3 linked regions of the Nothobranchius furzeri genome follow. The protein of the gene in region 3 interacts with the protein of the main gene of each other region in a biochemical or structural test. Links are inferred from orthologs where the notes say so. Each region holds a gene or a part of one and is shown on either strand. Other genes may lie near its edges.

Region 1 (3,451 bases), on a different chromosome or scaffold from region 3:
ATTAAGATATGAACGTTTCTACAGCCATTTAATACGTGGTTTAACCTCTGTCTGTCTCTGAACACAGCCGAACTCTCACGAGCGTTGGCATGTTTTGTTATTAATCTGTTATAAATGCAAATAAAAGGATGTCTGTCTCACCCTGTTGGAAAAATATTCACAATAAAACTATTTAAAAACATTTTGTTCCATTTTATTGGTTTTTAAATTAATCTGATTATTAAATAAACTAAATTAAATAAGCATGTGAGTTATTTCATTATTCAGGCGGTATGTGTAGTCCAGACGTTTAATCCAGCTGTGCTGCTTGTTTTGTAGCTTGAGGATTACAGCCGTGTCAGATCTCATGTCATTCCACGTGGCTGTAGATGCTCGTGACTTTCGTCCCAACACAATGTACCTCATGAACTAAACTATGAAGGTGCATGGTTGAGCATATCATGTGCACTTAATCTAGTTTTACGACTTCAATTCAAATGTGATTACATCCTCCTGAAGACTGATGGTTTTACAGTTTATTGAATTACAACATAGCAAAACATGTAAAATAACATCTAGGTATATGAGCAGGAAGCAAAATGGAAAGTGAAAGGTTGATGCTCGCAGAAGCCAAGGAACAGGTCAATATCACAACTAGTGTCCGTATCTGCGAAAGAAAAAACGAAAATGTGTTTGAGTCAAGCATCAAACAATCCTCAAAATCATATATGCATTAATGGATCCGACTCACTTCTGAAACTCCCACTCCCTGTTGTCCAGGGGACACACCTGTCTGGTCTTCAGCCAACGGGAGATACAGTGGAAATGGAAGGCATGCTATGGAAGGTAAGGAAATGTTTAAACGACTGGATAGCAGTTTAACAAAGATGCAAAGACTGAAAAATAAGTGATCTGCACTTGTAGAGTGCCTTTCAGAGTCAAATGACCCATATCTATCATCCTACTGAAAGTTGCACCTTAGAAACTCACATTGCAGACACCCCAGGCCACAGTGCACTCTTCTGAGGTTGCAGAAGCTTGGTTGGCCTGGCACTCTATGCCTGATGAAGGATGAGGAATTGTGTAAGAGGGCTGCCAACAACTCACATGCAATCAAACACCCCTATGTGAACTTACACAGATCCATGATGTGGTTCCTACAGATAGCACAATTATCCACCACTATGTCCCAGGCCCACAGTGCAACAGCATTCCACTGGAACAAAAATCACATTCTGTTCATAGGAAGGTAACTTAAAATGAAGGACCTCATACCTGGAAATAAAAACCTTAATTCTATGGCTCATTGTAGGGTCTCTGACATTCAGTACTAATTCAAAGTTATCTTACAAATAAAGTTTTTCAACCTTTGATTAAAAAATGCTTCCATGGACACCTCAATCTAGAAAAGGAGTTAATTAAAATCTGATTAATAAAATCCTTCTCTATCAGTACCGTTACTTTTAAATTATGTAATGAATAGGAGAAAAAAAACCTTGTCATCAAAACTACTTAACATTTTATCCTGAGGAAATGTGACAGTCATTTAAATACTTTAAATCTTGGGAAATTTCGAGATGTACAGCTTAGCTGACTAAGCTAATTTAGCATGTAGACTAAGAGATTAAAGAGGTATTTGTCCATTTTTAAATCGTGCTGTTATTGTGTAACTACTGAGAGTTTATCATCGCTCTTATTTCTCTACAAGTTCTAGTTTAGACTTTAAGGCCATAAACAGAATAATGATTAATTATTTCTTGTAGCAGGCTAACAGCTAAACACCGATAACGGTGTTTAGCAAGCTAGCGTTAGCTAATGTTGGGCTAAACCTTTCGGCGTTGCTGACAAAGTGCACCGTTTAGTTTAGTCAACACAGACAAACTTTCAACTATCGTACCTTTTTCACTTCAAAGCGCTTCTTGCTTGCTCCACTATTTGTACCGCTTGGCGTGTCAACATCCATTGCTGCTGCCATTTTGAACTCTCCGGAAGCGTTTATCTAAGTTTTACCGGAAAATAGCGTCACTTCCTGTTCGACCAGATTAAGCAAATTTTCGAAAGAAAATATTATTTTCTTAATAATTTTTGAAAAAACAAAATCAGGTTGTATTTCTGAATTGTTACCGTTGACACTCTTAATATTTGAAGAAGTATTGGTTAAAAGGTCAGGTTCCACCGAGATTTGAACTCGGATCGCTGGATTCAGAGTCCAGAGTGCTAACCATTACACCATGGAACCCCTGCTTATTAACATTTCTCTGTAAAGAATTTGTTAAATCAATAGCACATGTATTGCTTTTATTCATTGCTTTTACACACCCTTAATTTCTCATGCAAAAAAAAAAAAAAAAAACTTCTCATGCTGTATAGAAAGGTGTATCTATCTGAGCTACACACTGCGTCATACTCATCACACTACTGTGTACCACACACTCCCCTAGCTACAACGCTGCAAATGAGCGAGAATGGGGAGTTGACGCCCTCCAGTGGCAAAAGACCAACATAGCAGACATAACCTGTAACATAATAGAAATGCGGTTCTTTATACTGGTTGTTCTTTGTATATAATAAACTTTTAATTCAATTACTTGCAATCTGTCGTTTTATTTGATTGACCTAAATAATGCAAATAAATATATCCATCAGAGTATTAAAACACCTGCGTACTCAATCCTTTAATTTGCGCTCTCTGCTGGAGAAATCGGGTTGCTGCAGGTACTACATTCATACAACTTAAAAATTACGATTTTTAAATTGGCGTTAAAAACACAGTTAGTATAAAATCGGAAAATACACAATAAAACAATTTAACTAATGAAACTTGATAAATGTATTTCAGTTATTCGTGTTAAACAAGATTAAATCAATAGGCTAAAGAAGCTAGCTATCAGCCCCACAAACATTCGATTATACGCCCACTGGCGGCCACAGGGCAAAACTACATCTACGAGAGGACTTCATTTGCTTCCCATTTGGAAGCATGGGCATGGCTGGCTTCGCTAAGATTTAGAGGGATTTTTATTCATTTTAAAAATGTAATTCTTAATAGGTGATATGAGATACATATATTTAGGTACTAATATTTTTATCAGCATGAGTTTGTCAAATCAAACCCGTCTGATGTAAAACTATTAGTTCAAGACCAATAAACACCCAACTACATCTAATAAACACACACAGGGACATTCGTGTAGAAATTATTCGTTATAAGGTACAAATTTTTCAAACATGAGAACTCAATCTTTTAGCATTATTATATTTTCCCTGGCTGTCGTGAGTATTTTTCGCCCTCTAGCGGCCGAAAACTGTTACTACAGGTAGCGTTCATAAAGCTAAACAAAGCATTACACTTCCTGTAGATTCCTTCAAAACAAAACATACCATTTAAAATTATTAAGGGTTTTAAAGTGGAATTAACGGCAAAGTTAGTATAAATAACAGGAAAACTGATAGAATTATTATTCATGTTTTC
Region 2 (3,941 bases), on a different chromosome or scaffold from region 3:
TTCCTGGACTAAACCAACAACAGCCTTCCCCGTCGTGAGTCCAGATGGGTGAGTCCATGAATGTTAGTGACAGTGTGACGTAAATCTGTCAGGATTTTCTAGAGTTTCACCATCTGTTTTCTATCAGAAGCTAATGCAGGAGGTAGGTGTAGGAGACTATTTTCATGTTCAGCCTGCATGAAAAACTCATTACTATTAGAATCAGAGACAATCATTAGTAATGGTTCAGTGTTCCACGCCTACAAATCCTTCAGAGTGGAACGAGACGATAAGGAGATACTGGTACCTTTGGTCAGGAGGCGGTCCCTGATGGAGACCCTGTGGGTGGAGTCTGAGGCTCCAGAGGCACGGCTTGCTTTCCCTCCATCCTCCTTCTTCAACTTGCTAGCCAATGTAAGCATGGCTACGCTGCTGAGACACGCCTCTCTCTGCCCCGAGCCTCACCGCCTGTCCAACGTCTGCCAGTGACACAGATCCACATCTTCATTTTATCAGAATAGATAAACAAACAAACAGAGAAACAACAAAGTGTCTGTTTGTATGTGAGAAAGTTGGTTTGAATGTTCCGCTCAGAGCCGGCCGGGAGGGAACAGAGGTGTGAGAAAACGCTGAATAAGAGCCGCTTCGCTTTGAAACTAATCTGCTGAAAGTTTCCACCAAGAGGAGTGATTGTGTCTGTGACTCATCGTGTTGGTCACCAGCATCAAAGAGCACCTGGAGTGGGAATAAATGCATAAACTCAGATTACACTAAACAGGTGGAGCGGCTCGGTCTAATGCAGAATCAGACGTTTCCTGTTCAACGGTGTCATGTTTTCTATTTGATGTTTAAACAAGAAAAACTGAAAACACTTCAGAAGGAAAAACAATGCAGTGATTATTTTGGACATTTTTCTCTCTGAGTCTCTAAAGTGTTACCAGCTGGTTTTCAACTTTTTAGTCCAAACCACCAAAACAGTCCTTGGGTGTGACTCAGCGACACGCTGCTGTGACGTTTTAAACCGAACTGTAATCCTGTTGAAGTCAGACAGGGTTTCTGACACCACAACATGATGACTTCAGCAAACAAAGATGAACTTTATGTTTCACTTATGATGCCATAGCAAAGTCAAGCCCCCTGAGCCTCATCAGGAAAGGTCACGGCTAGTCTCTGGATGTAAACAAACAAATGGGTCCATTTGTGCTTTCAGATGAGTGGAAAACAAAACTAAAATGTTTGGGACAATTTGAGCCAAAGCAAGAAAAGTTGGAGCCAAGTTTGCTTTAGGCCCAAATATCATTTATAATCTTTATATTATAACTGATGTCCTGACTCCACCTGTATTAGTGCAACAAACCCAGGTAAAAAGAGGTTTCCTGTAACGTCTCCACTCTGTAAAACCCAGTTTGTGCACTGGGTGAGCTCACTCAGAGGGGGAGTGATGGTGTCGTGTGTCGCCGAGCCCGACTCGACACACACCTGCCCCAGCTGTCAGTCACCTCATATGTCTGTACGGCAACATCATCACAGCAGAGCTCACAAAGTCAGCGGCAAAACAAACGCAACAACACTTTAATCGCCGCACTACGGTAGTGCTTGTACACCAAACTTTTAACAAGGTCTTGTACAATAGATGTTTTGTTTTTAGAAAACCTGAAAGACTCTTTAGGCTTTCCCTTAAACCTACCCAACAATCTTTTCTTTGTATCATTTCAAGCCACTTTCACCTGTACGTTTAATAAAAGTGATGAAGTAAGAAAGATGCATCTGTTTGTTAACCTATCAATCACAGACCTCGTTATAAATGGTCTCAAGATATTGTCGCCCAGAGGTCAATCAAAGGGAAAAGAAAGACAGGCAGCCCTAATCAGATAATACCTAAAAGAGTCTTAACATTCAACGAAGTGTCATGCAGTTCTAGTTTTATGCTTCAATAAATAAATACATATATATACACACACACTCAATTTAGAGCTTGAGTCTGAGCATAACATCAGCGGGGAGTACTCATTATTTATGAAAATAAATTGTTTTGTCAAAGAAAAAGTCTGAAGACTAATTTTCTAAAGTATAAGGTGAACTTCTCTGTCTATTTTGCTCTGGATGCTTGATCATTAGTATACTAATTTATTTCCATAAAAACTGATCATAAAGCTAAAAATAGTGCATGCCATTTGTTTTGTCCTTATTTTTCAGGCCTGTTTGTGGTCAGACGTCTGACCTGCTACAGCTTTAACAGTGAGTCTAGCCTATTAATCACAAATTAATGCTCACTTCCCTCATTTCGTCTCATCTAGGTGGCCTGCCTTTCACACACGAATCCAGTCAACGTGACAACAGAGGAATCCTAACAAACAACCCAAGTCTTCTTAAAGGCGCTGAAACCAGCTGATTTAGAGCGACAACTTAAGATTTCACCTTCTTCCTCCTCCTCTTTGGTCGGGTTACCATAACAACACCTCGCTAATGTTGCTAATAAAAGCTACGTAGACGTTTCCAGACAGATCGCTCAACACCAGGTTTCTGCTCACAAGCACAAATGACACGGCTCCTTTCTGACGGCTGAACTTTTCACACCAGGAGCCGCTTGTGTGTTCTTTGTGTGTTACCTTCTGTCTCCCAGCTAGCTCTTCGTGCTAAACCATAATCAGCGGCTCTGCGAGCTCAAGCTGCCGCCAGCAGCACCACACCTGGCGGGTAGCAGACGCGTCCTCCTCTCAAAGGATCCAAAACTAGTTATTACCGATTCTACAACAGACTGGGAACTGATTTGGGAATCAGCTGACAGAAACTTCGCTCCGGTGGCAAACGGAAGCGCAATGGAGCAGTGCCCTGTTATTTGCTTCCGTGTGGACACACGGTAATGATAAATAGTTCCGCGCTGCTTGGTGGACGGTTATAAACATTTTAATAACCGTTAATATTATAATTATCATTAGTATTATTGTTATTGTTACTATTACTAATACTACTTATAATAATAATAATAATTTTTATTTTATTATTATTTTTATAATGATGATGAAGATAATAATAATTGTTATTGTTAGTAGTAGTAGTAGTAGTAGTAGTAGTAGTAGTAGTAGTAGTAGTAGTAGTATTTGTAATGATGTGGTTGGAGGAAAATGTCCACCTTTACAAATAATTATGAACCTGTAAAGATTTAATATTTCATTGTGATTATTGACCCAGTGAGAGTTGGACTCTGCCAGTTCATCCAGTTAAAATCCTTTACCTCAGAACCCTCCCCAGTCAAGTCAGGTGTGCCCCAGGGCTCTGTCCTGGGGCCCCTCCTCTTCATAGTATATCTCCTCCCTATCGGCAAAATCTTCCGCAAATTCAATATCCAGTTTCACTGCTTTGCAGATGACACCCAGCTCTACATTTCCAGTAAGCCCAACTCAACTCTCCCTCCATCCTCCCTTACACTCTGCCTCTCTGAAATCAAATCATGGTTCACCTCTAATTTCCTCAAACTCAACGGCAATAAAACTGAACTTCTTCTTGTTGGCACTAACTCCACCCCCTCAACATCTGACAGCTTTTCTTTAACTATTGACAGCGCCACAGTCTCCCCCTCACCTCACGTCAAGAGTCTGGGTGTCATTCTCGACAGCTCACTTTCTTTTCAGGCTCACATTAATAACATAATTCGGTCAGCATACTTCCATCTACGTTCCATAAACCGTCTCCGTCCCTCACTGACCCCTCACACTGCCGCCATTCTCGTCCACAGCCTCGTCACCTCCCGTATCGACTATTGCAATTCACTTCTTTATGGTCTTCCCAACAAACTCCTTCATAAACTTCAACTGGTCCAGAATTCAGCAGCCCGTATTATCACCAGAACCCCTTCCTTTCACCACATCACGCCGGTTCTCCAGCAGCTTCACTGGCTCCCAGTTAAATTCAGGTCCATCTTCAAAATTCTCCTCCATACCTTCAAAGCAATCCACAACCTC
Region 3 (3,500 bases):
AATGTGACGGCGGAACCAGGGCCAGATTAACACTTTGTTGTACCCTGGGCAACAATATTCAAGGGCTCCATCATCACGACTCAAGGATCACCATAATGTGGTCACATACAGAATATTTTACTGTAATATGCAGTAAATATACTCAATACTTGAATGCCTGACATCACGTAACCCGCCCAGAGTAACCTTTGACCCACCTCGTGTGGACTGACCAATGAGGAGAGGGTCTTAACTTGAGGCCCTCTCTTCATTGGTTAGTCTGCATGAGACTGACTCTCAACTGACGTTCAGTCATAGGCAGCGAAGCGTCTCTGTGCAGCGCAAAAGCCCGGGTGGACAGTTTGTTTAATGTAGGGTGACCATATTTCCATTTCCAAACAAGAGGACAGGGGATCTGTGCCTATGACGTCACACTATGGCAACGCCACACAAACCATGTTGGGACCCATTTTTTGTAAGAACTAAATTAATATCAGATTCTGCCAATTAAAGGGCTCTAAAACAATTCATATGTAAATATTTTGCATATTTAATGCAAAATCTAATTTTTCTGCTTTAGTGCTGCAACAAGGTTTTATTAATAATAAATTATTATACCTTTTGTTTTACTACAGCATCGGTAAGCTTCCTGTGCACAGATTATTAAGGATGCTTGTTTCAGCTGTGAGATTAGACGATAGGATCAATGAATAAATAAGTTGTCCCACACTCCATGGAAACTTTCAGAGAATCCACAAATAGTGGCTTTCAAATGGTTTTGTTACTTTTAGCAGGTTTAGAAAAGCAGCAGATGAGATAGCATGTCTGATAATTTAGTTTTTCATCTGATAATATTAGAACATGTCAGTAATGTCTGAGGGGCTTTTATAAACACCATATAACTAACACTACTGGAGAGGGCATGAATTACACAGAGGCTTCTGGGGAGCCCAGTTATTGGGGGGGGGGGGGGGGGGGGGGGCATTTTGCCTTGGCCCCCAAAATGTCTTGAAACGGCCCTGGGTGTGTGACTGAGTTTTGAAGGTGATCTGAATTGTATCAGATGTATAAATACTACATGTGTATAACTTGTTGTTTTTTACTGGTAAAAACGTGTAGTGGAGATAAATCTACCTACATTTTACTTTTCAACACTTTGTTTTGTTTTCTTGTTTTTATTGAACTATTTTCCTGTCCTGTCTGTCTCTCATCTTCCTGCATCTCCTCTAAACTCTCCAGAAAATCTGTTGCCTGGATTCTTACCTTTTCACCTCATCAGTTACTTTTGAGCAGATCAAAGGGATCTCCTGACTGAAAAGCGGAGAGCGCGTTTTCGATGCTGCGTGAGGTGACATCACCACAGCACAGGTGATGAGCTCCGCAGTAGCGAGCTTCAGGCACAAATAAGACAGAAAGTAGAGAACATGAGCGGACATGAACGATCGTGTGCTAATTATAGTTTTTTGGTTGCGCCACTTTGAGAATGGACCGTGCGCTGGAAGCAGCTGCCTGGATCGCTGTGCAACAATGCGGAACCGGTTCGCAGCAGCGCAAGTCTGCCGGCTCTCCCTCGCGCTGATCTGACTTGCTCTGGTCTGCGCGCAACGGCGGGCGGGAGGGGGGGGGGGCGCTTTTGGAAGAGTTGTGCGACACAACGAATCGATGACGCAATTCGTTGCCAACGCTTTTAGTAATCGATTTTCATCGAATTTATCGATTCGTTGTTGCAGCCCTACTGACTACTGTAACATGTTCCAGAAAAAGAAGCTATTTGTTCCTTTACTTGTGAAAAGTTGCACTTTTGCTAAGGCTTTGTGTTATTTTAGGTTTAATAAACACTGTTAAACTATTTCAGTTTGTGTAGAACAGGACTATCAATGCTTTCTGAACATATGCAACACCGTTTGAAAAATACCGCGATAATACCAAAAACCCGGATCATTTTGGTCACAATAACCGTGAGGTTACATTTTCACACCGTGACAACCCTAGTCTGGAGGTGACTTGCTCTTTAAAAGACTCGATAATTAAAAATGAGATCCATCCAGATTCCAAAGCTAGAGTTTAATCACAGATTTCTTCTTTCAGGTCTGAAATGAGCAGAACTCTTCAGTATGGAGGACAGAGTTGAACTTAAAAGGACAAAAAGAAGCCATCTTACTGCTTGAGCTTGTTTGATGAAGTCTAAAATGTCCTCTTTAAGAGCCTGATGGATCTTAGCTGGACCCTTGTCATCCCACAGACAAACAGCGTGGACGTCTCTGTAGAAGCAACACAAGACGATGATGAATCCTTTCAGCTGGGAAACAAAACCACACCATACCACTTTTGTTGTCAAGCGCGTTTCAATACAGCATGAGCCGACCAAAGCGCCTTACATATAGTACAGACACAAGTACTAAGACATCCATCATATCATAAACAAAGCACACGATAAAACAAGTAAAACTGCCAAAATGGCTATTCTAAAAAAATGAATAAAACCTAATAAAAATACAAATAAATATAACAAAGTGATACAGGGTATCTGCAGGTTTAAGGGAGCCAAATTTAAGACTTTTTAAGACCTTTTTTAAGGCCACTTTGACCAAATTTAAGCAATTTTTTTAAATTAAATTTAATATTTAATTTCCAGCTATTGCCGGGAACCGGTGCTAACCACGTCGCGAATGTGGGATTAGCCATCCAGTTACCATTAAACTTGCACTTTCCCATGGCGCAAGCTCCCACTAGCTTAACCAGCTAATGTGCTCATCTAAAAATAGCCCCCTTTCACAACCAACTGAATGTGTACGGTTCCGCATACGCCAACCATCATACACAAAAAATGCTGAACACTCGAAATTCATGAAAATGTTATAGAAATAAAAGAATCTTGTTTATTGGGTCTTTGGTAATTTAAGACCTTTGGAAACTGTATTTAAGGATTATTTATCATTTTTAAGGATTTTCAAGGCCTTAATTTTGGAAAAGCAAATTTAAGACTTTTTACGACTTTTTAAGGACCTGCAGATACCCTGCAGAAATTTAACAAGAAACAAGTCAAGATGCAAGAAGGTCCTGGGTTCGCTTCCCGGCCTGGGGTCTTCTGCATGGAGTAAGCATGTTCTCCCTGTGCATGCGTGGGTTCTCTCCGGGTTCTCCGGCTTCCTCCCACGGTCCAAAAACATGACTGTTAGGTTAATTGGTCTGTCTAAATTGTCCTTAGGTGTGAGTGTGTGATTGTTCGTCCTGTGTGTCTCTGTGTTGCCCTGCGATGGACTGGCTCTCTGTCCAGGGTGTACCCCGCCTGACTGCCTATTGACCGCTGGAGATATGCACCAGCCTCTCCATGACCCTACGTGGACAAGCGGGTTCAGACAATGGATGGAAGTCAAGATGCAAAAGCCAGGTCACAAAAGTGTGTTTTTAGTCGTGACTAGAAGGCCGCAATAGATGTTGACTGGTGGATCGCAGCAGGTAAGGCATTACACAGAACAGGCGGCACATGTAAAGCACGCGCCCCAGCAGGAATAATTGAG

Evidence for each region.
Region 1: the proteins of cullin-5 (region 3) and rbx1 form a complex in vitro, tested with the Homo sapiens proteins (4 studies listed by BioGRID and IntAct, with this or other methods). The link is inferred for Nothobranchius furzeri from reciprocal best matches to the Homo sapiens genes CUL5 and RBX1.
Region 2: of the proteins of cullin-5 (region 3) and ube2f, one has a biochemical effect on the other in vitro, tested with the Homo sapiens proteins (2 studies listed by BioGRID). The link is inferred for Nothobranchius furzeri from reciprocal best matches to the Homo sapiens genes CUL5 and UBE2F.

The regions. Positions count from the first base shown.
Region 1 is NC_091752.1:65,786,479-65,789,929, forward strand, and holds rbx1 (E3 ubiquitin-protein ligase RBX1), read right to left. Parts: upstream 2,013-3,451; 5' UTR 1,955-2,012; coding exon 1,877-1,954; intron 1,196-1,876; coding exon 1,117-1,195; intron 1,041-1,116; coding exon 970-1,040; intron 817-969; coding exon 731-816; intron 647-730; coding exon 634-646; 3' UTR 501-633; downstream 1-500. UniProt on the Homo sapiens protein: E3 ubiquitin ligase component of multiple cullin-RING-based E3 ubiquitin-protein ligase (CRLs) complexes which mediate the ubiquitination and subsequent proteasomal degradation of target proteins, including proteins involved in cell cycle progression, signal transduction, transcription and transcription-coupled nucleotide excision repair.
Region 2 is NC_091754.1:2,840,585-2,844,525, reverse strand, and holds the start of ube2f (NEDD8-conjugating enzyme UBE2F), read right to left. Parts: upstream 2,801-3,941; 5' UTR 2,589-2,800; intron 482-2,588; exon of another isoform or gene 459-481; 5' UTR 402-458; coding exon 287-401; intron 1-286. UniProt on the Homo sapiens protein: Accepts the ubiquitin-like protein NEDD8 from the UBA3-NAE1 E1 complex and catalyzes its covalent attachment to other proteins. Together with the E3 ubiquitin ligase RNF7/RBX2, specifically neddylates cullin-5 (CUL5).
Region 3 is NC_091750.1:28,008,917-28,012,416, forward strand, and holds part of cullin-5, read right to left. Parts: intron 2,241-3,500; coding exon 2,141-2,240; intron 1-2,140. UniProt on the Homo sapiens protein: Core component of multiple cullin-5-RING E3 ubiquitin-protein ligase complexes (ECS complexes, also named CRL5 complexes), which mediate the ubiquitination and subsequent proteasomal degradation of target proteins.